3 linked regions of the Coturnix japonica genome follow. The protein of the gene in region 2 interacts with the protein of the main gene of each other region in a biochemical or structural test. Links are inferred from orthologs where the notes say so. Each region holds a gene or a part of one and is shown on either strand. Other genes may lie near its edges. The genes, in order: WNK4, OXSR1 and WNK1.

Region 1 (9,950 bases), on a different chromosome or scaffold from region 2:
CGGGGAGGGTTTTGCCATACTGGCAGGGTCAGGGTAAACAAAGCGTGGGGGCCCAAGGATGAGATTCTGTGGCCGAGGCAGCGGTGGAGGGTAGAGGTGCCCACCTGAGCTGGCAATGGAGGAGACAGCAGGCAGTAGCGTGTGTGCCACGCTCATCACTGCCAGGGAAAAGACATTGGCAAGGGACAGGAGGGGAGTGGTTGGGGACCAGGATGTGCTGGTCACAGGGGGGCTCACGGGACTGCTGGGCCCACTGGGGATGGGGGATAAGGGGACCGGCAGGGCAGGGGGAACAGACATCCCTGAGGAGCCTGGGGCTGACTGTAGGAGCACCGGTGGTGCTGTCATCCAGGATGGAGCTGATGAGATGAGGGGCCATGGCTGTGTTGAGCCTGCAGGAAAGAGAAGCATCAGGAGCAGCCCTGAGCACCGTGCCACTGCAAGTCTGGCAAAAGTGCTGCAGCTGGCAGGGCTACGGCTGGGAGCTCTGGGTAGAGAAAGAGCTGAGTGTCACCCTGCCAGGCCTGGTACCTGTGGGGGAGCCTAGCAGTGGTTCTGCAGGGCTGGAAAGGTCACTCTCCAATGGGGAGCTGCTCGGTACTGGCGGGACGGGTGATTGGAGCCAGGTGCTGGGGCTGGTGCATCCCGGGTCTGCAGTGCAAAAGCTCACTTAGGCGTCTAGGACAGGCCTCCTAGAGCCCTCCTGGCTCAGCCAGGGGTGCAGGAAGAGCTCACACAGAGGTGAGGATGTACCACTGAGTGAGGAGGAGGAGATGGACTGCGAGAGCTCCTGCAGCTGCAGCTCTGCCTGCTGGGGAAAGAGAAGCTGAGCTCAGCGCTGGAACAAGCTGAACCAAATCAAGATCGGTCCCCAACCCATCCCCACTGCAAGTGGGGATCAGAGCCCCAGCTCTGTCATGTAGACTGCACCACGACCCGGAGCTGCAGGGCTTCTCCTGCCAGGGCTGGAAAGATTCAGCAGCCGCAGCATATGCCCCGGCACCGGGCAACCTGCAGCCACACTCGGGGTCCCAGCGCAGGGGGCCGGGGCCGGGCACTCACGGGACGGCTGGTGTCACGCTCAGCCTCGGGGCTCTCGGGCAGCTCGGGCGCACTCTGCCCATCCTTGCGCAGCAGAGTCTCCACGCGATGGATGATGTCCTGAATGCGGTGGATGAAGCTGTCCTGCTCCGACTTAAGGATGAACTCATTGTGGACCTGGTGGGGCAGCGCGGTGATGCTCAGTGCCACGGCTGCCCTCTCCCCACTCTTATTCAAGTCCTACACTCACCATGACAGCTGCAATTTCCTCTGGGTTGTCCCCATCCAGGTCGAACTTGAATGTCACCATCTTGTTGTTGTAGGTCTGCAGCTGGCACTCCACCACCCGATCGTTCTTGTCAGAGATCTGCATGCACATGAAGGCTCAGCAGAGGCAGTGGGGACGCATTTACCCTGACACCATGGCACTCACATTGGTGATGCGCAGCCGGGACCGAGCTCGGCGCCGCTGCAGCCTCCCCACTGCCCGCTTGGCTGGCAGCTTGGTGCTCTGCTCGCCGGCAGAGAGCCCCTCGTAGCCGTCGCTCATGCCCGATGCCACATCCGAGGCATAGCTGCAGGATGCCCAGGTACATGAATGTGGCTGTTCCCAACTGCAGCCCCCTTCCTAGGCAGCTCCAGCCCAGGATCCCAGTGCTTACCTGTCCACTGGAGAAGAGAAGCCACTGGCTGTGGGCAGGCGCTCAGTGGGTAGCTGCACTGCGATGCTCTGTGGGGAAGGGATGCTGTGAACCAGAGCCACCACCACTGCCACCCTGACCCTTCCAGCATTATGGGCTCACCGTGGGGAAGCAACGTGTGGGGCGGATGGGTGGGGGGCTAGTGGGAGTCCCCATTGAAGCACTGTGATGAGACACATCCAGGGAGTCGAGGAAGCCAGAGGAGCTCAAGTAGCCATCTGTTTCGCAGTCGGCTGCAAACAAGCACAAACGTGAGCGTGGCCAGACCTGGAGACCCTCTTCCCAGCTCTCAGCTCCCCTTTAGTGAACAGCCTTGGGGTGGGATGCATAGGTGTGGCTAGAGGAGCGGGAGAGCCCCATGCCCACTTCTCTGTGCCTACATACAGGTGGCCGAGGAGTAGCTCGTGTGCCGGTACACGAAGTGCTGATCAGCCTCAGGTTCCTCAGGCTCTGGTGGGAAGGTGCTGCTGAAAACAGAGTCCCTGGAGCCGGTGGTGGCTGGGGCAGGTGCAGGGACACCTGGTGCCAGTGGGGACTTGAGGTCCTCCAACAGCTTCAAGACACCCGGCGCCTGCCCCAGCTCAGCCTGTGGCAACACATCCTGAGCACGCTTCAGTTTCTCCCGCTTGCGCTTGATGGCGACCACACGGTCCCGCACCGCCTTCGCCACCAGCTTGTAGTCAGCCTCGCAGACAAAGCCCAGGACCACCTGCACAGGAGTGGAGCGGTATCAGCCCGCAGGGACCCCAACGGTGTCCCACCCCCTCCACCTCGCAGCACCCACCATTTCCTGGGCCACCTCCTCTGCCACATCCTTGTAGAGCTCGAAGAGAAACTCGATGGCATTGTTGTCCTTGTACTTGCCATGCAGCTTCTTTGTGTCATCCATCCGCAGCCACAGCTTGAGCCCTGACTTGATGCCATCATCTTCCTCAGCCAGCTCCACATGCACCCCCGTGTCCTCCTGGAAGAAGGAGTGCTCCAGCAGGTCCTGGATGGTGTATCTGGGGGAAAACGCTGCTCAGTGTGAGGACACAGCCCATTGCTCTGGATGGCAGCAAGGGACAGGGCAGAGGGACCATGTGTGGATGCACACAGGGTTGCAGACATTCAAGGCAGGGCTCTGCAGCACCGTGTCCTCTCCTGGTCTCTCCCACCTTTCATCCTTATCCATGCGAATGCAGCCCTCAATGATCTCCTTCAGCTCAGGTACCTTCACTTTGTAGAAGCTGCTGGGCTTCAGGCCCTGGGCAGAGGCAGACAGCACCCATCAGGAAGCTGCAGGGTGCCCTGGTGACCCTAAGACAGTGCCCTGTGGGGCCAGAACCTGCTCGGCAGCAGGATCCAGCACAGGGCTCCAGCCCAGAAGGCAGAAGCTGGCTGGGTCCAGCCGGGGCAGCCACGATGCCCTGGGGACAGAACAGCCAAGCAGCTCCGTTCCACCCTATGAGCGCACGGGGTGAGGCACATGGGCGTCCCTACCCTCTGCTGGCCCTGGCAAAGCTCATGGAGCTGAGCACCTTCTCAGCTCCCAGTCTAATTTTAGCTTCTTGCATAACCTGCTGAGTGGAATACTTCTGGAGCAGCGCGGTCCAGCAGCTCCCACCACACCACCCCTTCCTCCAGCCCTGAGGCACTCACTGAGGTGACCTTGCGATAGATCTGGGCAGCGTTCTGGCACTCTGAGTAGGGGTATTCCGAGGTGGCCATCTCCAGCATGCACATCCCAAAGGCATATACATCAACGGATTCATCATATTTCTCCTCATACATCTCGGGGGCCATGAACTCTGGGGTTCCTGGGAGCACACAGCATGGACAATGATGCGCCTGTCCCCACACACACCTCCACACCCCCCATGACCCCATCCCACCTATCACACTCTTGGCAAAGGAGGCACGTTTAAGCGTGGCCAGCCCCAGGTCCCCGATCTTGACAGAGCCGGTGGGGCCGGTGATGAAGATGTTGTCACACTTGAGGTCACGGTGGATGATGGGGGGTGAGCGAGTGTGTAGGAAGTGCAGCCCTTTGAGGATCTGGCGGCTCCAGCGCTGCAGCACTTTCAGCTTCATCTCCTTGAACCTCTTCAAGTAGCTGCGAGGGGGCAGGGCTGGCACCACAGCACCCCACGGACACTGACACAACCCCGTTCCCCACGCCTGACCATGATCCCACCACCACCATTGAGCTGCAAACAGCACGCAGCAGCCAGGGGCTCCCTGTACCCCCTCCCAGAGGCAGCACAGAAAATGCAGCTAAATCCAAGCCAAGATGCCAGTGCCAGGAGAGCAGTGGGAGCCAAGAGTGAGCGCTGCCCTGTGACACCCTGGGCCCCCCCAGCCCATGTGCTGGCTATCGCTCCACAGCAGAGCCCTCCCTCACCTCTTCTTCCCTGCACACTCTGATCCATCAGCCCCCACTCACGTCTTAAGAGTGCCAGACGTCATTAACTCAGTGACCAGCACAATGCAGATCTGCCCTTTGACGGATGACTTCCAGGAGTCGTAGAAGCGAACGATGTTGGGATGCTGCAGCCCCTTCAGCATCTCCACCTCCTCGCTGAAGCGCTGCCGCTCTGTCTTAGACAGCTTCCGTGTCTGCAGGGGCAGGAGGGAGTGAGGGGTACATGGGGCTGTGGAGCTGTCACATCCCACCCCCCTCCCTGCGCTCAGCCTCGTGCATGGCTCTGACGGAGCCACTTGCCTCATCAATCAGGCCAGGGAGGGATGGATCCCCCTGTGCTGAGCTGCGTGTGAAACCCACCCTGAGCCGGCTGCCCAGACCCATAGCCAATGCTCGGTGCCCAGCACCAGAATGGGCATTGCTAGCCCCACACTTCTAAGTGCTCAACCTGCTGTTCTGCCTCGTGCAGACCTGTCTGCCCCTGTCCTGGGCAGCTCCTGCCCTCCGCTGCTGCACAGCAGCTGCAGGCACCAGGCACCTTCATGGCAGGGAGCCGGCCTGCCTCAATGAGGCCTTTGTTGGGGAAAGCAGGCGTGGGAGGCTCCAGCCCAGGTTTTTCCATGTTCCTCCAGCTAGAGTTAATTAAAGTTGAAGCCAAAGAGAGCTGACACAGGCACTGAGCAGGGCTGCAGGGAGGATGCAGACCCTATAGGGCCCTCTACAGCAGAACATGGGGATGCAGAAGGAGCACGAACGTGCCCCACACCCCGTGCCCCAGCACAGCCCTGGTGCAATGACCTTTACTCTGCACAGAGCCAAAGGGACCAGGGAGCACAGAGCCCAGGAGCTGGCACAGAGTCCCAGGAGCCCAGGTGGCAGCAGTGCCAACAGCATTAGCGAGGTGCCCCCATTGCTGGGTGCTGCCTGTCCCAAGCACAGCTCTTTGGCTGCCAGCCGCCATCCAGCAGCTTTTGTAATATTTTCATTGCATCATAACTGGCCCCATGGCTGGGCTGGAGCTGCTCCATAATCCCCTCTCTTCCTTAATACATGCTCAGGGACCCAGCTCAGCCCAGAGGAGAACTTGAGCCTTGCTGCAGTGGATGAATGGGATCTTTCATAGCCAGAGAGGAAAACAGCGCCCCAAGGCCCCTGAGCCGCCCAGCACACACCCTGCCCCCCCAGCCCACCACCACCTACTGCAGAGCTTCAAGGAGCTCAGAGGTCTGGCTGCACCCCATGGAGCCACGGGGCAGCTGTGCAGGCTGCGGCCAGGGCTCAAGGACTGTCAATGTGGCTCCCTACATTCAGTGAAGGGGGACCAGGGTGGCATGTGGACGTGTCCCCCAGGGAGCCTGAAGCAAAGATAAAGGGAGCCCCACTCTTCCCTCAAGCCTGTGATGGATCATTCCAAAGATGGAGACAGGCACCTCAAGGGCTCTGCCCTGCCCTGCAGGGTGAGTGGTACCCAGCATGACCCCAGTCCCACTGGAGACACTCAGGCTGGGATCGCAGTGCAGGGCAGCACACAATGTACAGCTGGGGCTGCCAGCAGAGCTGTCTGCCTGGGACACAGTGTCTTTTCCTAGCAGACACCTTCTGAGGAGGAAGAGGAGAACGATGGGGATGGCAGCGCAGTGCTGGGGAAATAGTCCAGCTTCATCCTAGGGCCAGGAGATGGCTGCTAGTGTGCACAGCTGCAGAGCTGGAGCAGCGCCTGTGGCATCGTGTGCTGCTCACCTCAGCCAGAGGGTCCCAGCAGCATCAATCAGTGAAAGACTGCACTGTGCAGAGCTGAGAGTCACACCAGGAGGAGAAGCACCCAGGGCCATCTGTAGAGGTGCTCAGTGGGAATGGCACAGGCTCTGGGCACTCAGAGCCCTGAGGACACAGTCCCTGCAGCCACACAGGAATCCAAGAGCACCCAGTTCTTCTCCTAGTGGGTGCCTGCACCACCTGCTCCATTCCCAAACCTCCGACCCCCTTCAAGCATTCCCCTCTCAGCTCTCAGCCTCCCACCAGCACAGGATCCAGAGCAGATCTCTGGCAGCATGGCAGCACCCGCCCTATAGGGCTGCTCCTCCCCCCTCCAGAGGGGTCCCCACAGACAAACTACGCATGGGCAACTTATTTACAGCTCAATCCCACTCTGGGCTTCTGGTTTCCTCCCCACTTCCTCCTTTCCCCCAGCCCTCAGCACCTAACAGAAATAGTCTCAAATCTAAAGCTGGAAAGCACAACAGGTCATGGCAGGTCTGTGGGATGCAGGGACACACAGCACTGCACAGGGCTGCGGGCAGTGGGGACAAAGAGGCCCCCAAGGGGTCCTACAGGAAGGCAGAGAAAAGGCTTTGGGCAACCTGGTGGTGAGACAGGGCCAGGACAAGAGCCAGGATTTGAGACTGGGAGGCTGGATGAGGCTCCTGGGACCGGAACTGCATTCAGGGCTGAGGTTAGGTGTTCATTTATATTTTAAAGGTAATAAAAGGAGAACTGTGAAAGACACGGGACAAAGCTATTTTTAAAGGGGCAGAACCACAACCATTTTTATTTGCGGTTCCAAATCCTGTATTTGTGTCACAGTGTCTGATTCTTTGCATGATTGCTGGAAAAAACAAGCTTTAACAAGTTTGCTTGTGTGCTGCCAGACCCTCACGGGATGTGCACTTGGGGACAAGAAGCACTGAATAAAGAGCAGAGGGGACTGTTTTGGGGCTGCCTCTGCTCCACCCAGAGGGTGCTGCTCTAATCCCCAGGCACCTGAATGTAACTGGCACACGGTGCCAGCCCAAGCTGCAGGACAAGTGCTGGGGACTGCAGCCCAACTCCCACAGACACCCTGGTTCGGTACGCTGGGTACGCAAGGGGATGCAGCCCAGCACAGTGCACATGAGTACCAAGCTGTGCTGTCAGCTCCAGGATTTGCTATGGCTGCAGTTGGGGCACAGTGGGGCACACGGGCATGGCCCCACAGCAGGAACGTGAGGCAGCCAGGTGGGATGTGCTGGGCATGAGCGGCTCCTCTATTAGCCACATTCAGCAGAGATGCTGCTCTCACCAGCACTGAGCTGTGGCTTCCTGTGCTGGTGAGGGCACAGTCAGGAGCTCAGGGATCTTAGAAGGGAGACATGGGCATAGCAAAAGGGGAGCACTGAGCGGCTCTGGGGAATCTGAAGCAGTTGCCCCATCTCACAATACTGAGGCCTAGAACCACATCCTCCTCTCACAGGCTGTAGTCACCCCTCCAAAAGTCACACACCATTATCTAAAGGATCTCTCCTTGCATTACTGGGTTGCAGCCATCCCATGCGGACGCGCCAAGGCTTTAGGAACAAGACAACAAACTTGCAAGACATGTTTTTCTCTGTAAACAAGGACTTGGACCTTCCAGCTGCAGCAGCCACCCCCGGGGCAGGAATCTGTTGGAGACTTTGGACTTCACCAAAGCCCCTCCCTGGGGGCTGCAAGGAGAAATCTGGAGCCCCACTGCCAAGATCTGCTACTGCAGCCTCACTGCCACAGCCAGAACTGCTCCCAGCACACGCAGGAGGGGACTGCTGTGCTCAGCTGCCCAGCATCACATCCTGCTGCTGGGGAGCAGTGGAGGAGAAGATGGGGAAGCCACAGGTTCAGATGCTGTTAGCGGGGAGCACCTGGAAGCGTCATAGAAACCCATGTGGGTGCCCACAGGCACCACTTCAACCAAGGACAAGCAGCTGACGTGCAGCAAGGACGTTCTGTACCCTGCACCTTTTCGCACCCAGCCCCCGGCTACCTGCAGCACTTGCTCCAGAGCCTTCCCAGAGCTAACGAAGTGCACCTCCGAGCCAACTCCGGCACTGAGACGGCTCCCCTACCCTGTCTGCGCTTCCAAATGACGATCTGTGAGCTGATGAGCACAGAAAGTAGCGGGGTGCAGCCCAGCCCGGATTTTCCCCCACTGCCCCAGAGCGGGGCTGGAGCCGCGGGCAGGGGCAGCAGGCGCCCCATGAGCGCTCCGTAGCTCAGGCAGCGACACAGCAACGGGAAAACAACGTGCGACGGTGGGAGGGACGACGAGCGCGGGGCTGAGCGCGCAGCCGAACCCCGGGGCACCGGCAGCGCACGGAGGGTCCAAACCCCCCGCACGTTCCCAGCCCCACCGCTGCAGCGGAGAGCGCTGGGTGCGCTGCGGGGGGACCGAGGCTCCCTGCCGAGCAGCCCCTGCCTGAGTGCCCCTGTTCCTGGGCTGCGTCACCCCGAGCTGTGCCGTGCCGTAAGGTGAGCACCCTGCCCTCGTACCTGCAGCTCGCACCACGCCACCTCCACTGTTGTCTCCGTGTCCAGCCCCTTATAGACGGTTTTGAAGGAGCCCCTTCCAATCTCGATGTCAAACTTCAGGAAGCGGCCGTCGGGAGAAGTGGCCACGGCGCGCGTCTCCACCTCCTCGCTCTCCGTCTCCTCCGGCTCCCGGTGAGACGCGGCGTCCGACGGCGGCGGTGACCCCGCGCTCGGCCCCGGGTAGCCCAGCAGCTCCAGCTCCACCGAACTCCGCCGGTTGAAGCGGGAGGAAGCGCGGCGGGAGTCTCGTCCCGATGGCCTCCGGTTACGGTTACGGTGCGGTGCTCTACCGGGGAGCCCCGGCTCCACCGGGGAGCCGCCGCCTGCCCGCTCCGCCTCGGGCTGGGACATGGTTCCAGCGGCGACGGGCTCGACCGTCAGCATCAGCTCCCGCAGCTTCGCACCCCGCAAACAGAAGCTCCCCGAGCCCCGACACGGGCCCCGGCACCGGCGTGGCCACGCCCAGCGGCACCCGCCCCTCCCCGGCGCGGCCACCGCCCCCCAGTCCCCGTTGCACCGGGGTGGGCATTGGCAACGGGAAGGGCACCGGAGCGAGCGCTGTTGTAGGTGCGGTGCCAAGCATCGGGGCGAGCGCTGGGATGGGCGCGGGATACGGGCTGCGCACCGAGAGGCATCAGGTCCTGGGGCGGGCACCGGGCACCAGAATGGAGACTGGAGCAAGCACCGGGACGGGCACCGGGCACCGCCAGCACCAGGACTTCCCCCATACAGGGCCCACATCGACCCCGAGCCCCTGTGCCTGGGCAGGGCTGTAGTGATCCCACTCGTTCATTCCAGCAGCGATGGGTCCGTGCAGGGCCAGGTGATGTGCGGCCATGTTGGGCTCCGGGGCAGTGTTTGCTTCAGCCGCTCTCAGAGCTGTAGCTGAGAAGTTTCAGGGCAGTGCCGGTGCCTGAAGCTGCACGTCACTGTCCTGGGCACTGCCGTGCTGTCAGATCCTGCCCTCCCGGGCAGCTGCTGCTCTCAGGGTTCAGTACCAGGTGAACTCCTGAAATGAGGGTCACACAAATACTAAGATGTGAAGGTATCCTTCAGCCTCACGCTCACCAGGAGCCTGGACAAGAGCTTGTTGTCTCCACAGTGTAAATGATGAGGTTGTTCTACCCTGTAAAGCTGTTTACACAAAATACAGAGCAATCGATTCTAGCGTTAATTTCTTTTCCCTAAGGTCAGATTGTTTCTACTCAGCGGTACAGGAAACATTAAGGGTTGAAATGTTAACACAGCCGTGTTCTTTGCGCAGATTTAAAGTGCCAACGCTGTGATGCAGAATCCAGCTGCTCTCACCCACAGCTACACGAATCCCCATCCAGCTGGATGGATGAAGAAGCACGTGTTGAGTGTTGTTGCCACAGAAGTCCTGGGCAGGCTGCACAGCCCCCTGCACACAGGCAGGACTCTGTACCTTCATGCTCCCCTAGAAAGAGGACTGGGGAAACCTCCAGGAAGGGAAAACCCAGTGA
Region 2 (9,950 bases):
GCAAATCCTATCAGTTTGCCATCATCGGGGATATCTGAGCCTTCGACACCAGATGCCTGGAACACAAGGAACAGAGATCCAAATAGCAACACACATGCTCTGCCTTATGACTCACACCATGCTTAGTATCACTACGAGGTACAACAGACATAGTTCGGGGAGGCAGCAGTTACAAGACAGTTTTGCATTGCAGCCAGCATCACCCAAAGTTAAAATTGAGCTTTGTTTTTTTTAGTTTGGGTTTTTTTGGGGGGGTTGAGGTAGGAAGAGCTGGGACTGAAGTTCTGCCAGTACCTGCTCTGGTGAGGGCTACATGCACTGAACAGGGAGGAAAGAACAGCTTATTCACAGATGGGGTCAAAAGGAACAATTTACAGCTTCGTTGCCAATAAAATGGCTACACCCTTGCTTTATCACTATAGTTATCTAAGCATTTCACTATCTCTGCTGTTATCTCTCCTCCTCTAAGAAAGCTCCTTCACTGCTTTTGGCTTTTCCCCATCCCCCTTCACTTCTTTCTCTGTCACCCCTCCTCCTTCAAGGAGTCACTGACATTTCTTAGCCCACTTACATGCCCTGTTCCTGCCATTTCCAGCCTGTGTAACTTCCAGGCATAGAAAATACCCTTCTGTAACATTCTGTTATGCTTACTGGCCAGGGCAAGGGAAGCTCGGTGTTAGCAAATCATCTGACATTTAACCCAGGTCCTGCTCAGAGGACAAGAAGGGAGCCTTCATTGCCTACTATTAGACAACCAGTAGGAAGCTTTGGAAAGGAGGATTTAGAACACATACATTAGATGCCCACAGTAGACACCACATGCATCTATATGCAATGCTTTATCTTTGCAAGTGACAGCTTGTTCAATTAGGGAACAGGAATAAATACCAGTTTGAAAGTGACGGATCTGTTTGCTTGGGGCTCTTCCACAATTTTCTGCAAATTAGCTGCAACTGAAATCACACACACACACACAACAAGAAAGATGGGCAAATATTAGGTCAGGACAGAGAAAAACACCCCAAACTCATAAGGTCTCTTTATATTACTCAAACTTTGAACAGGTTAAAATGATACAAGAAGTTTAGGCTTCCATTAGACTCAGTTTATTTAAATCTAAAGACTTTTGTTACGGTGCTTCTTTTTTCCTCAAAGTCTAATTAGTAGTATCAAGATTTCCAAACATGCCTGAAAATCCATTTACTTTTACACCAGCTGCCCTTCCAGATATTGCAGGAACAGTTTTGCTTTCTGTAGTTGAAATACCCAGGTACTGTTAGCAGTTAAAAGTCTCACCTGCTGCATAAAGTGGACATGTTTATTTAGGAAAGTGTGCTTGGAAGTATTTATTCATACACACTTGAGTACGGAAACAACACATGCTGTTGCTTTAGCCCAAGTGCACTGCATGCAATAGTGCTTCATACTTCCTTCCACAGACTGCCTTAAAACAAAAAAGCCTGGCTGATTCCAGTCCCAGACCTCTCTTTGTGCAGAACCTGTCAGCAGTACAGGCTTGTGCAGCAATTTGGCAGTGCCTGTGTCAGATGAGACTGATTTAGTCAATGCACTGATTAACTTTCATTTCACATTTCGGGGAACATTTGCTTTGTAATCTTTCCAACTAGATTCTATTCTTGTGAACCAAAGGTTGCATAAATATATTTGGGCACAGAACTGCCACTGGAATTACCAACAGTTTTATAGTGCCACTGGGGAAGAGAATCAAGGCCATGGAGAACTCCCCTGCACCCACTCATCAGGTCATTTTAAAGATGCAGAAATGACTGAAATGGTTAGAGCAGAAGAAAGAACTGATAATTACCTATTACCAGATCTCTGCCATCAACAAGCCCTGCTGAAATTAGTTCCTGAGACACACCATCAGCAGTATCTGTTGGGGAGAAACACAAGAACTGGTTACCATACGAAAGAAATTGTCCAGCTGACACAAGTACCACATGGAAATCCAGAAGCTTGCACAAAAAACCAAACAGCAACAACACTGTCTATGTGAGACAGTGTGTGCAAGCTGCTGACTTTCATTTCAAGTTTAATTTTCCTAATGCTGACTAGAAAGAGTTGTCTGTACTGAGCTGGAAATGTTCTGTTTTCTGAGCTGGAAGGACTGTGCAGTTCCAGGCTTGCTTGTTTTTCCCTACCCTTGTCAGGGCAAATCCTGAGGCTACCCTAAACTTTGCAGAGTCCTTGGCCTTCTCAAAGACCTGAGATATTCCCTTCTAAGTCAGTAAAGAAATCCATCCACTCACCCAATTCAGGGCACACCTTAATTACACCCTACTGAAGAGGTGTCTTTCACTGTGTAGTAAGGCAGCCTAAAGGACAAACTGCTGCAAGCCAGACATTTACATAAGCAAGTTCTAGGCTTGCATGTCTATTCCACAATAAAAGGGTGTCGTGTCAGTGAACTGACTTGGTAGGGCAACAGATCTTCTAAGTGGAAGGGGAAAGCCAAACAAACTAGTATCTGCATTGCTGTGCTCTCAGGTCAGTTCTTCTAGCTATTCATTTTCAATATGTGATCAAAAGGGAAAGGGGAAAACCAGACGCTTCTATACCTCAACCCGCCTACTGCTTACAGCACTGCAGTAAGACAGTTCTGTGCTATGCTTCCAGACTCCAAGCTAAAAAGCACTGAATGGCTGTAACTCAGTCATATTTGTAACAGTTTTACATGAGAAGCCTCTCAGCTGCAGCGTTCAATTGACCTAACAGCTCAATCATAACTCAAGCCATAGAATACCCTTGGGAAGGCAGGAGAGGCAGGCACACACATGGCATCTCCATACACCCAACTGAACAATATCAAACACAAAAGGTCCCTTTAAACAAACCACCCACACGCACCCAAATGTCACAGCAGCTCACCTCTCCCTGGTGTAAATTCAAATCGGATGTCATTGAGTTCTTTTTTTGAATTCCTGGGGAAAGAAGAAAATGTTATATGGAAGGGAACATTTCATTGCACTAAGCAATGCTCAAAAAGAACACTGTGCTACCACTGAAGAACTGGTCTGTGAAGAAAACTGAGTTCACTACACTCTTCCTCCTCCTCTTCCTCCTGCTAAGAACCAACCCAGTGCCCATCTACAACCAACACAGCCATGGAAATGAGAGACAGATTCCTTAAACGAGAAAAGTCAACATGCATAATGATGACAAAGTGCACTTATAACCCTTTTTCTATCTTTTCCAGGGACATGAACCAGAACCCAAGTCTTGAATTGGATAAAAGCTCTTCAGTCTCAGAACTAGCTGACTGAAGTTGTGTTGGATTATCCGGCTACTGAGGCACATGGCCAAGATCCCTGGATCCCTGGCCCTCTTTTGGAGAACCCAGCTTCCTTCCCAGACTATCAGAGTTCAGGGAGATGTATTCAAGTATCAAAACCTTCTTCAACCTAATTCTTGTCAAACTGGAGAAGTAGATGAGATGAAAACTGCTGTTCTTAGTCCCAGTTTCAGGAGGTGAACAGAATCCAAGCTGACAAACAATTTGTGGCCACAGCTTTTCAAATAGAAGGGCACACAACAAGATGCACTATGGAGTTCTTCCAGTGTCCCTCTCTACAAAGGCTCGCTTTGACATAACAGATCAGTTAGGTGTCCTTACCTTAACCTTAGTACAAGGCTGATGGGGACTTTCGTATCTTCCTGTACCGGAGCTGCAGCGGGGGCAGGTGGGGCCTGCAATAGGATTATGTTATTTTATAAGAGACTAATGCTTCTTTTCTGTAGCATTAAAATTAGAGACAACCTCAATCAACTATAAGTAACAATAAACATTTAACTCATGATTGGAGTCCTAACAATACAATGAAAATCAAGACAGAATGAAATGGGAAAGCTCTGTGCTTAAATAGTAAATCAGGATGTTCTCTGCAACTGTCTCCAGGAAAGGAAATGCTACACAACTTTATGAAACGTCAAATTAGCAAGAAACTTCAGAATAGATACTTAATGTAAAGAGAGTGCTTGTTTTGCCTCAAAACATTAAGGTTTTCAGGCATTCTTCCCTCATCATGAAGTGCCTGCCAATCATCAGGCACTTCAAGACCTCCTGTGTTTTAATCTCTGCCCCAAACATCTGATTTACAAATGTGATACAACTGTGAAGAGTACAGAGGAAAAAAATTAAATGGTAGATTAGCATAGACTCCCAATTTACTTTTTAGGTAAACTGGGGACTTCAGCTACCTATTTTCACTTCTAAATTAGTTCTGAGTAATTACTGGTACCTGCAGTCAAAGCATTTTATAGTGCTGAGCAGCAGATTTCCAGTAGGAAAGATCCATCTTTATAGCACTTGTGATACTTCCAGTAAAGGACTAATTATTAATCAAACTCTACAAAAAACAACAACAAAAAGCAACCAAAAACCTCGCACTCACTGAAAAAAGTCAATTACTCTTTCTCTGTACAAATTATCTGTGCTGCACGTGCTGAGCCAGGGATTTTAAATCTGCAGTAACAAGACAGACAACGTCTAGCTGATCTTTTAAGCCTAGAAACCTTGACCACGTTCTTTGTTTCATCCAGATCACTGGTTTATTTTTCATGAGAGAAAATGATCATCCTTTGTTTCAGAATCGTTTTCTACTCCATCCATTGGTGCTCTTCTGTCACCAATGCAGCTCACAGCTACTGACCACAGCCTGGGATCTGCTAAAGCTGTAAGCTTTACCAGTGAAAACAAGCAGAAGATGATAAAAAGCACTGAGGTCTATAAAATGGGAGCAAACAAGCTACAAGAACCAAAGGGAAGTTATAAGGAAGAACACCATAACACACAGAGGTATGAAGTTCAACTTAGGACAAGCTACCAATAAATAAGCTATTGGGGCATAGCGGCAGGGAACTGGATACTCCACTAGTACAAATCAAAACACTTTAATTGAGGCCAACATGGCAACATCAATTTACTGAATTGATGAGTCCTGGCCTTCACTGTTGCTGGTGTTTCAACTGCTGCATAGAATTCAGGGATTAAATACTGGCTTTTTTTTTTCCCCTTCTCTTCCCCAAGAGATGTGAAAGTTTGATTTAAGCACTAAGGCTACTTATACCACAGCCAAGAATGCGACAGATCTCATCTCCACTGTTTTTGTTTAATGACTAATGCACTATCTTTAATGGCTCTGTAAACAGGAACACGAGCTGCCTGCAGTGAAGCGACACACACATCTTTTCAGTTTCCCTAAAACACAAATAATGAAATGTTTCTAGGAAGGAGCAAGTCTAAGTTATTTTTCTGACTGACACTGCCAAGTTTCTTCCCTCTGCATCTGCCAGTGGGTGATGCTACCTTGGACCCATCCAACTGACACAGCTTCTGCCCATCAACATAAATGAACATTAGCATCTTTTACGAAGAGGTGCCATCACTCAGGAGTTTGGCACACTCTGCAGTGCTTAACCACAAGAAACGTTCCAAGCATCTCCGTAATTATTTGGTTTGGCCTTTTTTTCTCTTTTTAACACACGTTAGAGCTCCTTCCCAATTTTGGCACGTCTGCCTATATGAACTAAAACCTACAATTTTTAGTGATGCAGTTAGAAATTAAACATGGGCTTGTAAAGCCTTTTAAATTCCCTGTTCTCCCATCTCAGCTTGAAATGGATGTGCTTGAAAATACCACAAGATTTAGAGTTCCCCAAAGAGTTTTCTCTGATATTTTTTTTACTACTATGAAGACAGTAACAAGCTAGGCCCCTTTTCTCTCCTTCGATGCCTGGAGAACCTACATGTTCTAGTTTCTTCCTTTCATTTTTCTCTCCACTCTTATCCCACAGACTGCAATGATGTGGGAGCAAACACAATCAGAATCTATTTTTGGAGCACCTTAAAAACTTGTCCTCAAACACCAGGAATAAGCAGCTGCCACTGAAACCACTCTCCCTTCTTACCTTTAGCCTTACCTTAAAGCAAACACTGCACTCCCTTGATGGCATAAAAACATAAATCACTGCTCACCCACAGTGAAAGTTTCACCAGAAGAACTAAAAACTGCTGAGCTCACATTGGCTCTCTTCCTTTTACAGCTACCAGGCCAGCTGTCACTTCTATGTAAACAGCAGCACTCATGCAACTCCAGACAAGCAACTTTCAAGGCTGTCTTCCATTTAATCACGTCTCAGACACAACGGTGAAGTGCAAAGCTGAAAGGCAGTACAAGAGGTTTTTAACCTTACCTGAGCTGCTGCTGGGGCTGCTGGAGGAGCCTGACTGGGGGGAGGTACAGCAGCCTGAGGTTGTGCAGGTGCTGGTCCTGCAGCCTGAGGTAGTTGAGTAGGTGCCTGTGCTGGAGCATTGAGTGAGGGAGCTGGAGGCTCAGCTGATGGGAATAACTGCAGGCAGAAAGGTGTCTGAATGAGAAATAGATGCAGGCAAAACATATCCAAGCTTGGAAAAGGTGTAGGACAGGATATTCTCTCAAACTTTGATGCCTACTTATATTTCCTAGTAGCCAGACAGTCAGAATACAGCAACTCTGCTAGTTGTAAAGCACTTTAGCATCTATCAATTATTTATCTGTTTGTAAAACAAATGTCAGAGTCAGAGCACTTAGGTATTCAAGTGAAAACTGCTTTTCTACATAGCACCAGTGCTTCAAAGCATATAAAACAAACTCTTTGGGACTGCACTTACTAAAGACAGCTCCTTATCAAGAAAACATATACACAATGTAGCTGTGGAGATAGGGAGGAGAGCTAAAGAAGTTTAACCTTTCTGTTGCTCTTAACTCCAGTTATTTGAAACAGAGTAATTGGTTTTGACATGATGGCCAAAGAACTGTGAACTTGGTGGCACTTCTCCAACTCACTCCACTGAATTGTAGGAAACATAACTCACCTTGGATGCTTAAAGCCTGAGAATTAGATCTTCAAACCACAATATATATTAGGGGATGTATCACAGTGGAGAAATTCATCCCAAATGGATTATGGTTTCATTTCTGATTTCAGAGTTAGGTAAAAATTATACTACAAGAACTGCAGTCTTAAGACCTCCTTTTATAATCAATCATTGGAAACAGGAAAGTAGAACAGGGCAGCCTAACCCAAGACTAACTCCTAGGGCAAAATCTTTTCACATAGGTAAGGAAAGGAAGGACACAGTGCATGCTCTAGGAAATAAGCAGCCTGTATCACTGAAAGATAAGATATATTCCTAATGTAAGAAGCACAAGATACAGCTGAACGCAGATTACAAACTACAATTAAGTTTTGTTTGCAATCAAATGCTACTAGAGATTTATTTCACAGCTTTGAGCGGAGGTTCCTACTCAGTGTATTTGTAACAGAAATAATAAGTTACCATATTTGGGAAGACATTTAATACTTACCTCTGAATTCTGTACAGGTTCTTTCACTCTGGGAGACTGAAAAAACAACAAGAAAAGGTTGTCATTGCTTTGACAGAAATTAAACTTATCAGCTAGAAGGACTTGTCAGAGTTGTACTGAATGGATAAAACTGTTGTGTTTTGGTTTTTCTTTAATTACATATAAATGTTAAGATGTTTAATGAAACGAAAGCCACAGTTTGGTGGCTAATTAATCATATTATAGAACCCAGAAACTCATAGTCATGTCTCAGGAGCTGTAGTTGGCATACAGTGGTATGCAATACATAAGCTGCTCTGTTAACCAATAACAAGATCAAGCGTTCTTGAAGATCACTCAAGATTAGCTCGAGCTGCTTGTGCAAGATCCATTGTAAGCTACCCAAATCTTGCATAAAAAGATAAGCAAGAGATCAAGAGATCTGCTTTGCAAAATTCCATTAGATCAGTGTAATGTGGAAGAAAGTGCAGTCAAAACAATTTGGTCAATTTTTGCTTATCAATAAACAAAGACAAGAAGCATTAATTATTTCACATGGACAGAAAGGAATTGCTAAGAATTCCTGAAAAGCTCTGCAATTAAGATAGCCTGCATTTTTGGCTACTAACAGGTCCAATTACTGTAAAGAGATAAGACAGGTCCATGCTGGGATTAACAAAATAAATGTTCTTCTACACCTGGTGCCTAAAAGACAACCTGATATCAGGACAGTATGAGTTTGACAGAATGAAAGTCATCACGACACTAAACTAGAGGCAATTTATGCAATAACCAATGCCAATGACTTAACCAGTACAGGTCAGGACAATTTGTAATGTATGGCCCAGAGGCATCTCACTAGAGAAAAAGAAAAGGTTTTATTTGGAGAATAGCAATTTGCAAAAAGCCATCTGGACAGAAGGAGAAGGAACAGCTCCTTCACAGTGACTAACTGCAGACAGTGTCAGGAAGAAGAAGTCACACAGCTGGAAAGGTAGATGCTGAAATCCAACCTGGAAGGTTAAAGGCTGAAATCCATCTTGATGTGTTAAGCCTTCACTTGACAGTGACCAGGCAAAGACGAAAAATATGGCATTGCTCCCAGAGGTAAATAGCAATGCTCCACATCTGCAGGCCTCAGTTTTAGTGCTGTTCTCTCATGCAGAAAGTTCGTATCCAAGAGCACCCGGGCGCCTCAAGGAATAACTCAACCAGAGCTTGTCCAAAAGATCAGTGTGTCAGACACTGTACAGACAAGCATGGGACACAGGCCCTGCCCTGCAGCTAATCAGCCCAGATAAAGGGCAAGCAGAGATAAACTAAGGAAAAGACATGAACAGGCAGAATGGAAGTAAGAGAAACATTAGAATGTATTTATACAAATAGGTACAAATAGGACGACTGGAGGGGACATGCTTAAATATACATGCACACAGGCAGAAAACTTTTTTACTATTAATATTTGTCTGACTTCAGGGACAGAAAAAACAAGGTGGATTTAATAAAGTGGAAACTGACAGTAAAATACAAACTATTTATGTAAAGCTTTTATAGAGGATAGTAGTAAAGTACCTCAGCAAATAAAGCCAGACGATAAGCCATCCTTTAAGGCTGACAGCAGTAAAATTCAGGTGCAGCAGGAAAAAATAAAGGCTACAGTCTAAACTCACACTATTAAACTGCAATGGGATTACAGGCAGGTGGAATTCATGTAGCATTTGACATACGGTTAAAACAGAGGATTAACACTAGCCCCTCCATAACGTTGCTGTATTTGGAACAAATGTTCACAATTTAGATCCAAGTCTTAAAAGGGGATCAAAAGCAAGAGGTGTATGGGTGCTCCTACTCTTTTCCCTTTGGGCTCCACAAAACAAAGACACTCAGGGCCCAAAAGTGAAGGCCAAGAACATCCCAAATTAAAGAGACGAGAACAGAAAACAGTAGAAGAAAATATTGAAAAAGCTTCAAGAAAAGCCAATAAACTAAAAAGTAACTTGAAAAAGAGCTGGTAAACATATGTTTTTCTGCATAAGAGGAATGAAACAACTAAGTACTGTTCAAATAACTGGTATTAGTTGATAGGATTCTGAGCTTAGAGACAAGATAGAAGACGTTCTAATTAACCTCCAAAATAGAGTTAGGGCCTTTTAGAGTATTCCATCCTACAGATTGATCGTATTTTAGTCTATAAGAGAGATTTAGAGGATTTAAGCTTATAAAGAATATCAGTAATACCCACCAGCTACCAAGAGATCTTCCTTAACTGCACAAAGGAGCGGATGCGGTGAGCTCTTTAAAGTCACATATCTGTTGCCACAAATTATTACATGGAATTGCTACACTAATGGCTATCTGAAAAAACTAAGATTTCAAAAGATACTAAAGGATGGCTTTAAATATTGTATTTCTACATAGATCACACCAGCAGTAGGATGACAGAAGTGGAAGTTCCCTCCTTGCAACTTCAGGGATGGGATAGGATTTTCTACTAGGGACTATTAGATCTCAGTGTAACTGAGAGTAAAGAACTAGATTCTGTTTCAGATATCAGCTGTAAGAACAGGCCACGTTAATTCCAGTTCCATCTTGCAGATTGCAGTA
Region 3 (9,950 bases), on a different chromosome or scaffold from region 2:
TCAGTACCAAGCCTTTCCGCGCCAGGCCAAGGTAAGACTTCAGGCGGATTTAGCATCAAGTCTTGCACCTTTACTGCTGGTGAAAGAATGGTCTACTTGGTGCCACTTGATGTTTAGTACACATCATAAAGTAGACAGGGAATTCGACTCCAGTGTGTGCAAACTGATAAGGGCATACGTTTTGCAACTACATTTCTAGCTTCTCACATAAATAGAACATGCTAAGATTGTTCAAGTAATTAATATATAGTATGTGGCCCTGTCTGCTATAATGAAAACACCAAGGAGAACACAAGAGAATGCAGTGTGGTGGCAGCAAGCAATATTCTTCTGACCTGAGAGGAGAAAGCATTGGCTAAAAGGGTGAGGAGATGAAGGAGAGAGCTAGAGGAAAGGTGGGTTCTGATGTGAGATTAAGGAAGAGGCAGAACAGTTTTGTTGGTAATAAGTAATTGAAAAGGTAGGAAAATTTCCAAAGACTCCTTTTAGAATTTGAAAGTGCTGTGGCTGATTCTGATTCTGATGATAGTTCAATTCTTTTGCTTCTATGAACGTAGTTGCTTCGGTTTTTTATGCAATAGCATCTTTTCAAAAAGCTTTACCATAGACTGATTAAATGCATCGAATCAAACAAATATTATTGCTGCATTTGTAGAAGTCCAAATGGAAAACAGAAATTGACTTTTTGAAAGAATTTTGGCAAGAATTTTCTGTAGAGATTTTTTGTGTTGAATTGTTCAAGTACTTTTGAAGCTACTTGTGGCTCCCTGTACATAGTGCTGTACGGTATCTTCTACAATTAGATGCTTTTGCTGGCATTTGGCTTTCCTACCAGTGGAAACCCCATTGCTGGGTTATAAATTGGAGGTTAACACAGCAAACTTGGCCTCGTGTTCACTGTACTGAAGGCGAGTCTCTTCACTCCGTATGTTGTCTGCATACTCTTTGGTCCACTCTTTGAAGCTTACTCTTGTGTGCCATGTTAATGCATTTCACCCTTCCAACCTCAAGTTGCTAACATCTTGTAGTGGTGTTCTGTCTCTTCTCCTCTCCTTTCTCTGTTCTACCCGTTTTTGTTTTCTCACAGGCTGTGCGAAGTTTAACTGTGCATCTGAGAGAGTGACGTTCAAGCCTGGTGGCAGGAGGACCCGATTTCTGAGTACGCCCTGCTTGGCTCTTTGTGTGTAACACCTTTACTCCTTCCTTGTCTTTTTTTGTTTTGTTTTGTCTTTTTGTTTTCTTCTGCTGCTTGGATCTGTTTCATGCAGCCCATCCTCATCTGCCATCTCGTATTCCCTCCCATTCCATGGCTAGGCTGAGTTGCTCTTAGCATACCTTTAGAAGTTTGGGTTCTCGTGTTAGGTACTCTGTTTTTAAACTGTTTTAACACTGATTTCTCTAAGCTTTTGGTGAAAACTTCTCTGGGCAGGTCAGTGAAACGGCAGAAATTGAGGTTGGCTTGCCAGATGTGATATACCGGGCCTTTTCTTTTGGCCTGCTTATTAATTACACTTCAGTATATATTAGCTGCCATGAGACTAGCAGGATGACTATTCTTTCCTAGGGAAACAGTGAGGAAGATTTGTTTCCCAAATTACTCCTTTGTTTGGGGCACTGTTGTAACTGAAGGCAGAGGGGTTGTGTAGCTTCCTTCCAGCAGTGTGCTTGCTGTTCAGGTTGGGTATTTATGCATGCTGTCAGCACCAGTGCTGATCACAGTGCAGAGCATTGATGCCACCTGTAGGCAGTTAACATCGACTTCTTGTGTTTGTTAGCAGATGGAGATTAAAAAATCAAAACTTAAAAATAGTTATAGAATATTTTCAGGTCAGCTCAACTGGGCCACAGATTTAGAAGCTCTTAATGTGAATCATAGACAGACTAAATATGATGCACATAGCAGTACAGGTGGGGAAATGGCCATCTTCAGACATTCTGTCAACCCTTGCAAGTTACCTTGCAGCCTTTCTCAACATCCTTTCGCTGGTGCTTATGTTACACCAGATTCAAAAGAGAGCCTCAAACTTCTGATGTGATTGTCTGAACTAACGATGTGCTTGAGCTGAGGCTGCTGCTGCAATGCTTTTTTTTTTTGGAGAGCGCTGCGACATCTCCCATGCTGCTGCTGCAGGCTGGACCCTTTGAATGCTCTGACATTTGTTTCCCAGACTCCAGAATGACTTGATATGAGAGTTCCGAGTGCTGAAAAGAGACCTTCAGTTGCTGCACTGCCTAATGTACCATGCATCTGTAGCATCTGTCTTGCTGCAGTTGGCAGCCAGAGAATTGTGTGTAGGAATGAGACCGGGCTTTCTGCAGAGACAGCTGCAATGCAACCAGCACAATCCTCCAAGGCAGCAGAGACAGAGAGGAGAAGCATATTTGTGGCTGCTGAATTTTGCAATGATATCTCATTGGATTTTAGATATATTACTGTGCGGATACTGCAGTAGCAAACATCTGCAGTTCAAAGACTTTTAACAGCTCCTTTCTTGGAAATACTTATATGCTTACCAAAGCAAACTCTTTAAAATCCTCTCTTGTCTGCCCTATCCCATCCTTTTTTGGGTTAGAGAGTATAATGAACAACTACTTCACTTCTGGAATTGACAGTGAACTGAGTGTGAGAGTGTCATGTATTTCTAAGGCTCTGGCTTGCTGCAAACTGTATGCCATCTGGCTCTATGAGTACATTGGCATGTATATCCTTTGCCTGTGGGGCTGGTGCTAAGAAAAATGGATTCTTATTGAAATGTGTGTTGCAGCTGTCCTGCAAAAGCAGGTCATACTCGTAAAGGCATGGCACAGCTTGGCCTGGCACTCAGCTCATTACAGGCTGTTTGCTTCCTGGAGTCTTGTCCTTCAAGTGCTATTGCAGACTGTTATGGAGAGTGACAACTGGGAAAGATGCTGGGTTCAAATCAGCAGCGTTGAGAAAACAGTGCAGTAGTTGATGCTTGTAACTGTGCAGTGGGAGAAATAGAGTGGTACAGCCTGGCGGGGAAGGTCTGTCCCACGGATATGGGAAGGCCTGAGAGAACAAGGTGACAAACCATGAGAGCACTTGGCTTATCAAATTCTTCTCACTTTGTGACAGTCAAACTTGATAGCTGTAAAGCGCTTTCCAAAGCCCTGACAAAAATGCAAGATGTGTTTGCTTTGCTTGTGTAGTAACAGCCAATTGAAACAGTAATGTTTCCTGCCATTCTTCACTACAGTTTGGGCAATCTGGAATACTAAAAAATAAACGCAGAAGGCCAAACCGTTTCTTTTTCTGAAAATTCAGCTCATGAAACTGTCAGAGCAATCTCAGGCTTTTTCATAGAACATACCAGAACTTTCAAGAGCCCTCCTGTGCCATGCCCTCTGTTTCTCACCAAGCTTTTCATACTGTTTGCTGATACTAAACATTTCTCACTGTTTCTCTTTATCTTTAACAAATGACTCTCTCTTTGTGCTTCAGGGAAGATGGTGAAAAAAGTCTGTCCTTGCAACCAGCTCTGTAGTAATTATCTTATTTCTGTTATCTCCAGCTCCTGACTGTAAAGCTATTCATTGGCTTTTTCTGGTCACTGAAGCCTTGCCTCCCTGACTCTGTCTCCAGCACAGCATCTGTCTGTCTCCGTTATGCCCTCTAATGTATACTCTGTTGTTAGCATATCTGCATAGCGTGGCTATTACCTTTGCAGAAAAGTGGAGGCAGAGCCTCACTTTCCCTGAGCGACGACTCCTTGCTCACTGCTAATGACAGTGAATTGAGCATCGAGGACAGCTGCTCACTGTGATGCGCTAACGCTGTACCTTTGAGCAGCTGGTTTCTTTATGTATCTGACGGGTTCTGCCACCTCAGTGACAGCTCCAATGGCAGAGTCTCCTTCAGCATTGCAAGAGTAAGCCATCTGATCTCAATCCATGTCCTTTTGTAAGAGATGTGTAGGAAAGCCACCATATGGTCACGTCCTTGAAGACTTTGTAAAGGTGCCTTTTGACTGTTGGCTCATGGTGAGATTTAAAAATTTAAAATTAATAAGAAAAGGTTAAAAAGGCTGGGTGTGAAATGAAGGCATTGTGGGTGGCAGGCTGGAGAAAGGAGAAGCCTGTTTCACTTCAGGTCCTTCATGTCAGAGAAGGAATGGGGACGGCTGCTGTGACCAAGCAGGAATGCGGGGGTTTGTTTCCATTAAAAGCCACGAATTGAAACACTTCCTTCTCACACTCTTCTGGATGGCAGCTCCAGTAGGTGACAGCTACACCAGGGTTAAAATGTGAAGTTCCTAAGAAGTCAGTTTTTACAATGACGCTATGGAAGCTCCAGTAATTTTACAGCTCACCTCTTCTAACCTAGGCTGGTCTGCCCTCAGGTCATCTGTGACCTGAGATAGGAGTTCCACAATAAAATCACCTTGCAGACAAGTCTCTTTGCCCCCCACTTTTCCTGTTCAGCTTAAACCCTGGACTAAACCATGAGCCAGTCCTCTTCAGAACACTTCAGCTTTCCTAAACAGTTTTTTCACATCTTTGGATGAATGCACTGTAGTATTTCATGATTAACTCTCTCCATTGCATGGCCTGAAGAGGCTCTTCAGCGTAGAGCCAAGATCACAGGTTGCCAGCTGTGCGCTTAGTGATTAACATAGAAATATGAGACATGAGAACCAGATATTGGCCATCATGAAGAGTATGAGAGGAAGTGTGTCAATCCCTGCATGAGCCCTCATGGTGGAATGTGGTTGTTACTGGTTTCAACACCTCGTCTTGAGTTTCATTTTGTTGTTTTTGCCTGTTTTGTCTTTAATTTCACCTTCTTTTTCTCAGTCACTGTTGTTATTAAGTAAGATGTGGTGCATGCTTAAAGTTTTCATTATTTTATTGTAGATTTTTCCTTGCCACCTTACGGTATGTTTCTGTTAGCGTTCATCTGAGCTGCAACTGCACTCCCTGGTCAGGGAACCCTATTCTCTCCTTCCCTGTGTGCTGTTGCATGCCTCTGCCTGCCTGTAACAGCTGCTGCCCCTCTGGTGAGCATCCTCACTGGGAGCCATCTCCATGCTTGAGCTGGAACTGGTGGGAGGGAGGTGTGTCCTTCCCTCTTCAGCACTACTAGAGGCGGTAACACTTTGCTTATTTGTCCCGTGTAGTAAGTATGTCACCTTCCTAATTCACTCCTTAATGTAAAGCATTCCTGCAGGGGTTTGGAGCCAGTTGGTTTGTTCTTTGATGCCGTAGTTGCAAGGAGTGTGGCTGCTAGCCAGGGAGGGTAGCACAGAGGAGTTAGAATTGCAGTATCATTAAGGTTGGAGAAGACCGCTAAGATCTTCCAGTCCAACCAGCCCAACACCACCATGCCCACTGACCACATCCCTCAGTGCCACATCCACACGGTTACTGAGCACCTCCAGGGACAGTGACCCTACCACCTCCCTGAGCAGCCTGTGCCACTGTAGCACCACTCCTTCTGAGAAATCAGCTGTCAGGCAGGAGCCAGTGACTGTCATTGGAAATGACCGTCTTCGCTAGGAATTTTGATGGTCAACTTTTAATCAGTTTTCTGCAGAAATTCTGCCGTACGCTCAGGTTTTCTGGGCTTCCCAATTGCAGCCTTCAGAGCAAGCAAGTAAAATATTTGAAGATATTTGAAAACCAGTTAGGTGAAGGTGCTTGCAGTGAATGCAGGGCTTAGCTCTATACTGATGAGGAACTTGTTTTCAGTTAAAGGGATCTGAGAATTGCAGTTTCGTTCTGCCTTCCCCATGGCCCTACTGGGTCCCATATCTAGAAATGAATGAATACATCCCAGAAGTATCTTCCACATCTGGGATGAAAACACTGCTGGAAATTAGAAAGCTTACCTGATAATGGACAACTTTGGCTACTGCTAGGATATCTGTCTTGTGAAGAGCTTCATCTTGAGTGAAGCTTGTTGCTTACAAGGGTGAGGCAGTGAGCGAGGCTATTGTACACAAACATTCTGGATGTTTTCTGCAGGGTGCTGTTCGGCAAACTTTCTAGAAGAACCAGATCCCCAGTATTCATGTGAAGGGTTTTTGTTCTTGTGGGCGACCCAGTGAACAGAAAATCATGTCAGAGCGCATCCAAGGAACTGGTCTCATTTCTGCCTTCTTTAAGCTGTATTAGTTATTTGCATCTGAAATGCTGATTCTTCTGGCTAGGAAATCTGAACATCATGGCAAAAAAAAAAGTGCTTTCAGAGGGGAAAAGCAAAATTTAACACAGTGCATGCTTCCCCTGCTGATCTCCGTTCTTTAGTGGATGAAGACTATCCCGTCTGGTTATCCTCAAGTATGGCAGCTGTTGGAAACAACAGTTGCTGTTTCTCATTGTGGCTTTTTGTGTAATCTGAGTGAATTTTTCCCCTTCATTTTAAGAAGTGGAGATAATTTTCTACAGAGCAGCTGGCTGTGCTGTTTGTAGTACTCCATATTCAGCCTCCAGCATTGCCCTCTGAGGCAGAATTGACTTGTGCTGGTAGTGTTTGCTACTAATTAAATGGTGTAGGATGAAAGAATGACACGACTACTGTCATTTGGTGCTGAAATCTAATCTCCTTTTTCTTCTACAAAGACCTGTAGGCTGCTGCTGTTCCCCTGTCAAGATGACTACTTGCAGGACTTCTTGAAGGAAACATCCGTGAAATATTAATAATCTGAGAAAATGCCTGTAGGAGTCCTCGTAGTTCCTACTTCAGCTTGTCTTGGAATTGAAACCTAGACTTAAACTGCATGGCATTTTAATTGGCTCTCTATCGTTGTACCATTGCCACAATTATTAAACTCAGTGAAGGAAGCTGATCTCGACCCCAGTTTTGATTCCCATTTCTTGTGTTTTTAGGGACCAGTAGCACTAACGCAGTTGGGGCTACAGTGAACAGCCAAGCACCCCAGTCTCAGCCTACTGCTATTGCCTCCAGCCGAAAAGGGACTTTCACAGATGACCTGCACAAGCTGGTAGATAACTGGGCCCGAGATGCCATGAACCTGTCTGGCAAGAAAGTTGGCAAAGGGCATAGCAACTATGAGGTAAGATTTAACCCATGAATGTTTACGGTAAGAAGCTGTCGGGTCTCATTGCCTATCTCAATCCAGGTATCCTGGCCAATTGCTCTACAGAAATGTTGGGTAAACCTTGTGTGTGCAGTATTATATTGCTGATCTGGAGGAGAAGAGGGATAGCTGAAGAGTGCGGCCGTGGTGTATTCTTGCAGACAGTCATTTGGAACGGCCTGCGGGCCAAGGGGATAGCCGTTGGCTTGTAAGAACGGTCATTTAACCTGGAGGTTGGATTTTCTTTCAGGGCCCTGGAATGGCAAGAAAATTCTCAGCACCAGGTCAGCTCTGTATCTCTATGACATCTTCCCTGGGTGCTACGCCCATCTCTGCAGCATCAGCTACCTCTTTAGGTCCCTTCACGAAGGCCATGTGCCCTCCACAGCAGTACAGTTACCCAGTGGCGTCTTTTGCCGCTCCATGGAGTGGGACGAGCGGTCCGGCACAGCAACCGCTTGGCCAGTTCCAGCCCGTAGGTGCCACGTCTTTGCAAAGCTTCAACATCACGGGTTTGCAGAAGTCCATCAGCAACCCTCCAGGCTCCAACCTGCGGACCACTTAGCCCTGCCCGGAGAGCGTGCTGGCTAGACCTCGGGACAGGACGTGGGGAGGGAGATGGGGCCCTTTGTCAACTCCTAGTGCTGCAATGAACTGGTTTGCTTGCCAGACTGGGAATTAATTTCTCTTTTCCACCTGTTGCTGTTAACTTTCTGTAAAGGGGGCTTCCCCACATGCTTTCAAGGGGGAGGAGGATGATCGGCATCCTTAGTTTGGGACAGTTCTTTTGACTCGAGGGCTCCCGCTTGTGTGTGAAGCGAGAGCCGTGAAGATCAGTCACGGGGCAGTTAACGCAGTCTTGCTGTAAAATTTCTCTGGTTTGAGGCTGAATCCGCGTATGTCAAGATGGGAGAGTTGAATCCTAGCATGAGGCTTTAGCGCACTTCTCTCCCTGAAGATCCGAGACCAGCTGTCCAAATCCCCCTCCTCTCCCTCTCCCCACTCAATCGTTATTTGGCTCCAAAACGATGGGGCGCCCGAATGGACTTGCAGTGCAGCCCGTGCTTGATAGGTCATTACTGCTTTAAGTAAGATATTAACAGCTTTGACTGCAGCATTAGAGCAATTTAAATTGTTTAAAGATTTTTTAAAAGTTCCCTGCGGACATGTACTTACCATCAGTTTTGATGTGGAAACACTGTGATATATAAATGTTGTTGGACAACAGTAGTTTAAAAATGAGTGGAATATAGAGGGTTAAAAAAGTTAAAAAGTTAAAAAAAAAAAAAATGGGAAAAAAAAGCTAGCTATATCCTTATACTTATTGGAGACACTTTAACTTTTTCCTTTGTATTTTCATTGTATTAGATAAATAAATGTGAATGTAAAATTGTATAAATTAATGTACTTGAATACTTGTCTGTTCTCCCAGTATGCTTGCTGGATATTTTAGTGCCTTGGACTTCTATTGCTTCTGCAGTTAGCGTTGTCTTCCCAGCAGACCCCAGGTGGATGGAGGGGCAAGTTCAGAGAAGGCCGCATTGGTAGTACCTGTGGAGGGGGGCTTTACCACCGGCACAGTGATACTGATACCAGGCAGAGCAGGTGCAGCGGGTTGGAACTGAGCTCCGAGTGATGGGAAACTTGGCTGAGGGCATGATCCGATGTTGCTAGTGTGATGAGGGCCAGGTGGGGCAGGACGGAGGGCTGTGTGTGAAGCCGGAATGAGACGAACCGCTGTTATGTAGAGGCAGGAGGTCTGGATCAGGAATGGAGAGGATGGGGAGAAGGTGTGTCTGTGGGAAGGGTCCAACTTGAGGTGCAGTGTGTCCCCACCTGAGAAGTGGTGAAGGTGTTTGGTCAGGAAGTGACTTGAGGGAGAGGTGCCATTGCTCATTGGCGTGGGCTCGTTTGCTGGGATCGCTTTTCTTTCTTTGTTTTGTTGTGGTTTTTTGGTTGGTTGTGTTTGGTTGTTTTTTTTTAGCCATTGCCGCCAGGAATAGTCTTGTCCTGGCACAATGTCCATTGCCGGCAATGGATGCACTTGAAACAGCCGGCATCAAGAATTTTCCTCAGTCTTATATGGAGGATTTATTTACGCTTTAGTTCACTCTTATCAGATTTGCAGCTGGTACTGGGCCTGTAGCCGTCACCTCTGAGTTAGCCGTACTGTACCTTTGCTGTGTTCATCCTCCCTTTTCCTATTTAAGAATACTGGTTTCCTCCACAACGTTAAAATAATACCAGCCAGTATTTACAGAGTGCTGCAAAGAGCTGTGAGGGGTCGGTGCTGCTTCCCGGCGCTGGGGCGGCTCACTGCTGTCCGGAGGTTGGAGCACGCAGGAGATTGTCTCTTGCCCAGGTTGTTTATTCCCTGAGCGTGCTGTTCCCCTGTGGAGCTTTAACAGGGAGCTTTTCTGTCTGCGAGTGTCCTCACCTTCATTTTGTTTGCAAAGAGATGTGCGGGATCCATTCCTTTCCTCTTACTTTTTTGTTTGTTCTTTTTTTTTCTTTTCTCCAGCATTTTTGGCAGCAAGGGAATGTACCGAGTGGAGAGAGAGAGTGAGATGCCAGAAGAGGGCAAAAGCCAGCAGCAGGGAGCCTGAGCTCCGAGATCCTTAGGTTTGAGGGCTCGTTCTTTGTGACCTCAGTGCGGAGTGGAGCTGTGGGAGAAGTCCGTGGTGGGAAGGGGCAGAAGCAGGGGGGGAATGGGGGGAGAAGGCCCACTGCTCTGCTCTTTGTCCTGGATGGTGCAGAGGTTTCCCAGATAGGCCAGGTGGGAGGTGAGAGGTGCACCTGGGGGTAAAGGAAGCGGTTGCCGGCCCCAGATGGTGCTGACACACAAGAGGGGGATGCTTGCGACAGGGGAACTGATGAAGCTGAGCGCAG

Evidence for each region.
Region 1: the proteins of OXSR1 (region 2) and WNK4 are reported together in a solved structure, tested with the Homo sapiens proteins (2 studies listed by BioGRID and IntAct, with this or other methods). The link is inferred for Coturnix japonica from reciprocal best matches to the Homo sapiens genes OXSR1 and WNK4.
Region 3: of the proteins of OXSR1 (region 2) and WNK1, one has a biochemical effect on the other in vitro, tested with the Homo sapiens proteins (2 studies listed by BioGRID and IntAct, with this or other methods). The link is inferred for Coturnix japonica from reciprocal best matches to the Homo sapiens genes OXSR1 and WNK1.

Annotation. Positions count from the first base shown.
Region 1 is NC_029542.1:4,642,090-4,652,039, reverse strand, and holds the start of WNK4 (serine/threonine-protein kinase WNK4), read right to left. Parts: upstream 8,851-9,950; coding exon 8,428-8,850; intron 4,341-8,427; coding exon 4,168-4,340; intron 3,838-4,167; coding exon 3,617-3,837; intron 3,542-3,616; coding exon 3,384-3,541; intron 2,989-3,383; coding exon 2,900-2,988; intron 2,747-2,899; coding exon 2,527-2,746; intron 2,452-2,526; coding exon 2,127-2,451; intron 1,976-2,126; coding exon 1,845-1,975; intron 1,772-1,844; coding exon 1,704-1,771; intron 1,617-1,703; coding exon 1,475-1,616; intron 1,409-1,474; coding exon 1,292-1,408; intron 1,219-1,291; coding exon 1,063-1,218; intron 812-1,062; coding exon 754-811; intron 652-753; coding exon 532-651; intron 393-531; coding exon 1-392. UniProt on the Homo sapiens protein: Serine/threonine-protein kinase component of the WNK4-SPAK/OSR1 kinase cascade, which acts as a key regulator of ion transport in the distal nephron and blood pressure.
Region 2 is NC_029517.1:4,326,252-4,336,201, reverse strand, and holds part of OXSR1 (serine/threonine-protein kinase OSR1), read right to left. Parts: intron 7,404-9,950; coding exon 7,368-7,403; intron 6,370-7,367; coding exon 6,214-6,369; intron 3,709-6,213; coding exon 3,635-3,708; intron 2,943-3,634; coding exon 2,890-2,942; intron 1,895-2,889; coding exon 1,826-1,894; intron 954-1,825; coding exon 889-953; intron 57-888; coding exon 1-56. UniProt on the Homo sapiens protein: Effector serine/threonine-protein kinase component of the WNK-SPAK/OSR1 kinase cascade, which is involved in various processes, such as ion transport, response to hypertonic stress and blood pressure.
Region 3 is NC_029516.1:52,092,164-52,102,113, reverse strand, and holds the end of WNK1 (serine/threonine-protein kinase WNK1), read left to right. Parts: coding exon 1-31; intron 32-1,087; coding exon 1,088-1,180; intron 1,181-3,463; coding exon 3,464-3,505; intron 3,506-6,849; coding exon 6,850-7,037; intron 7,038-7,311; coding exon 7,312-7,626; 3' UTR 7,627-8,363; downstream 8,364-9,950. UniProt on the Homo sapiens protein: Serine/threonine-protein kinase component of the WNK1-SPAK/OSR1 kinase cascade, which acts as a key regulator of blood pressure and regulatory volume increase by promoting ion influx.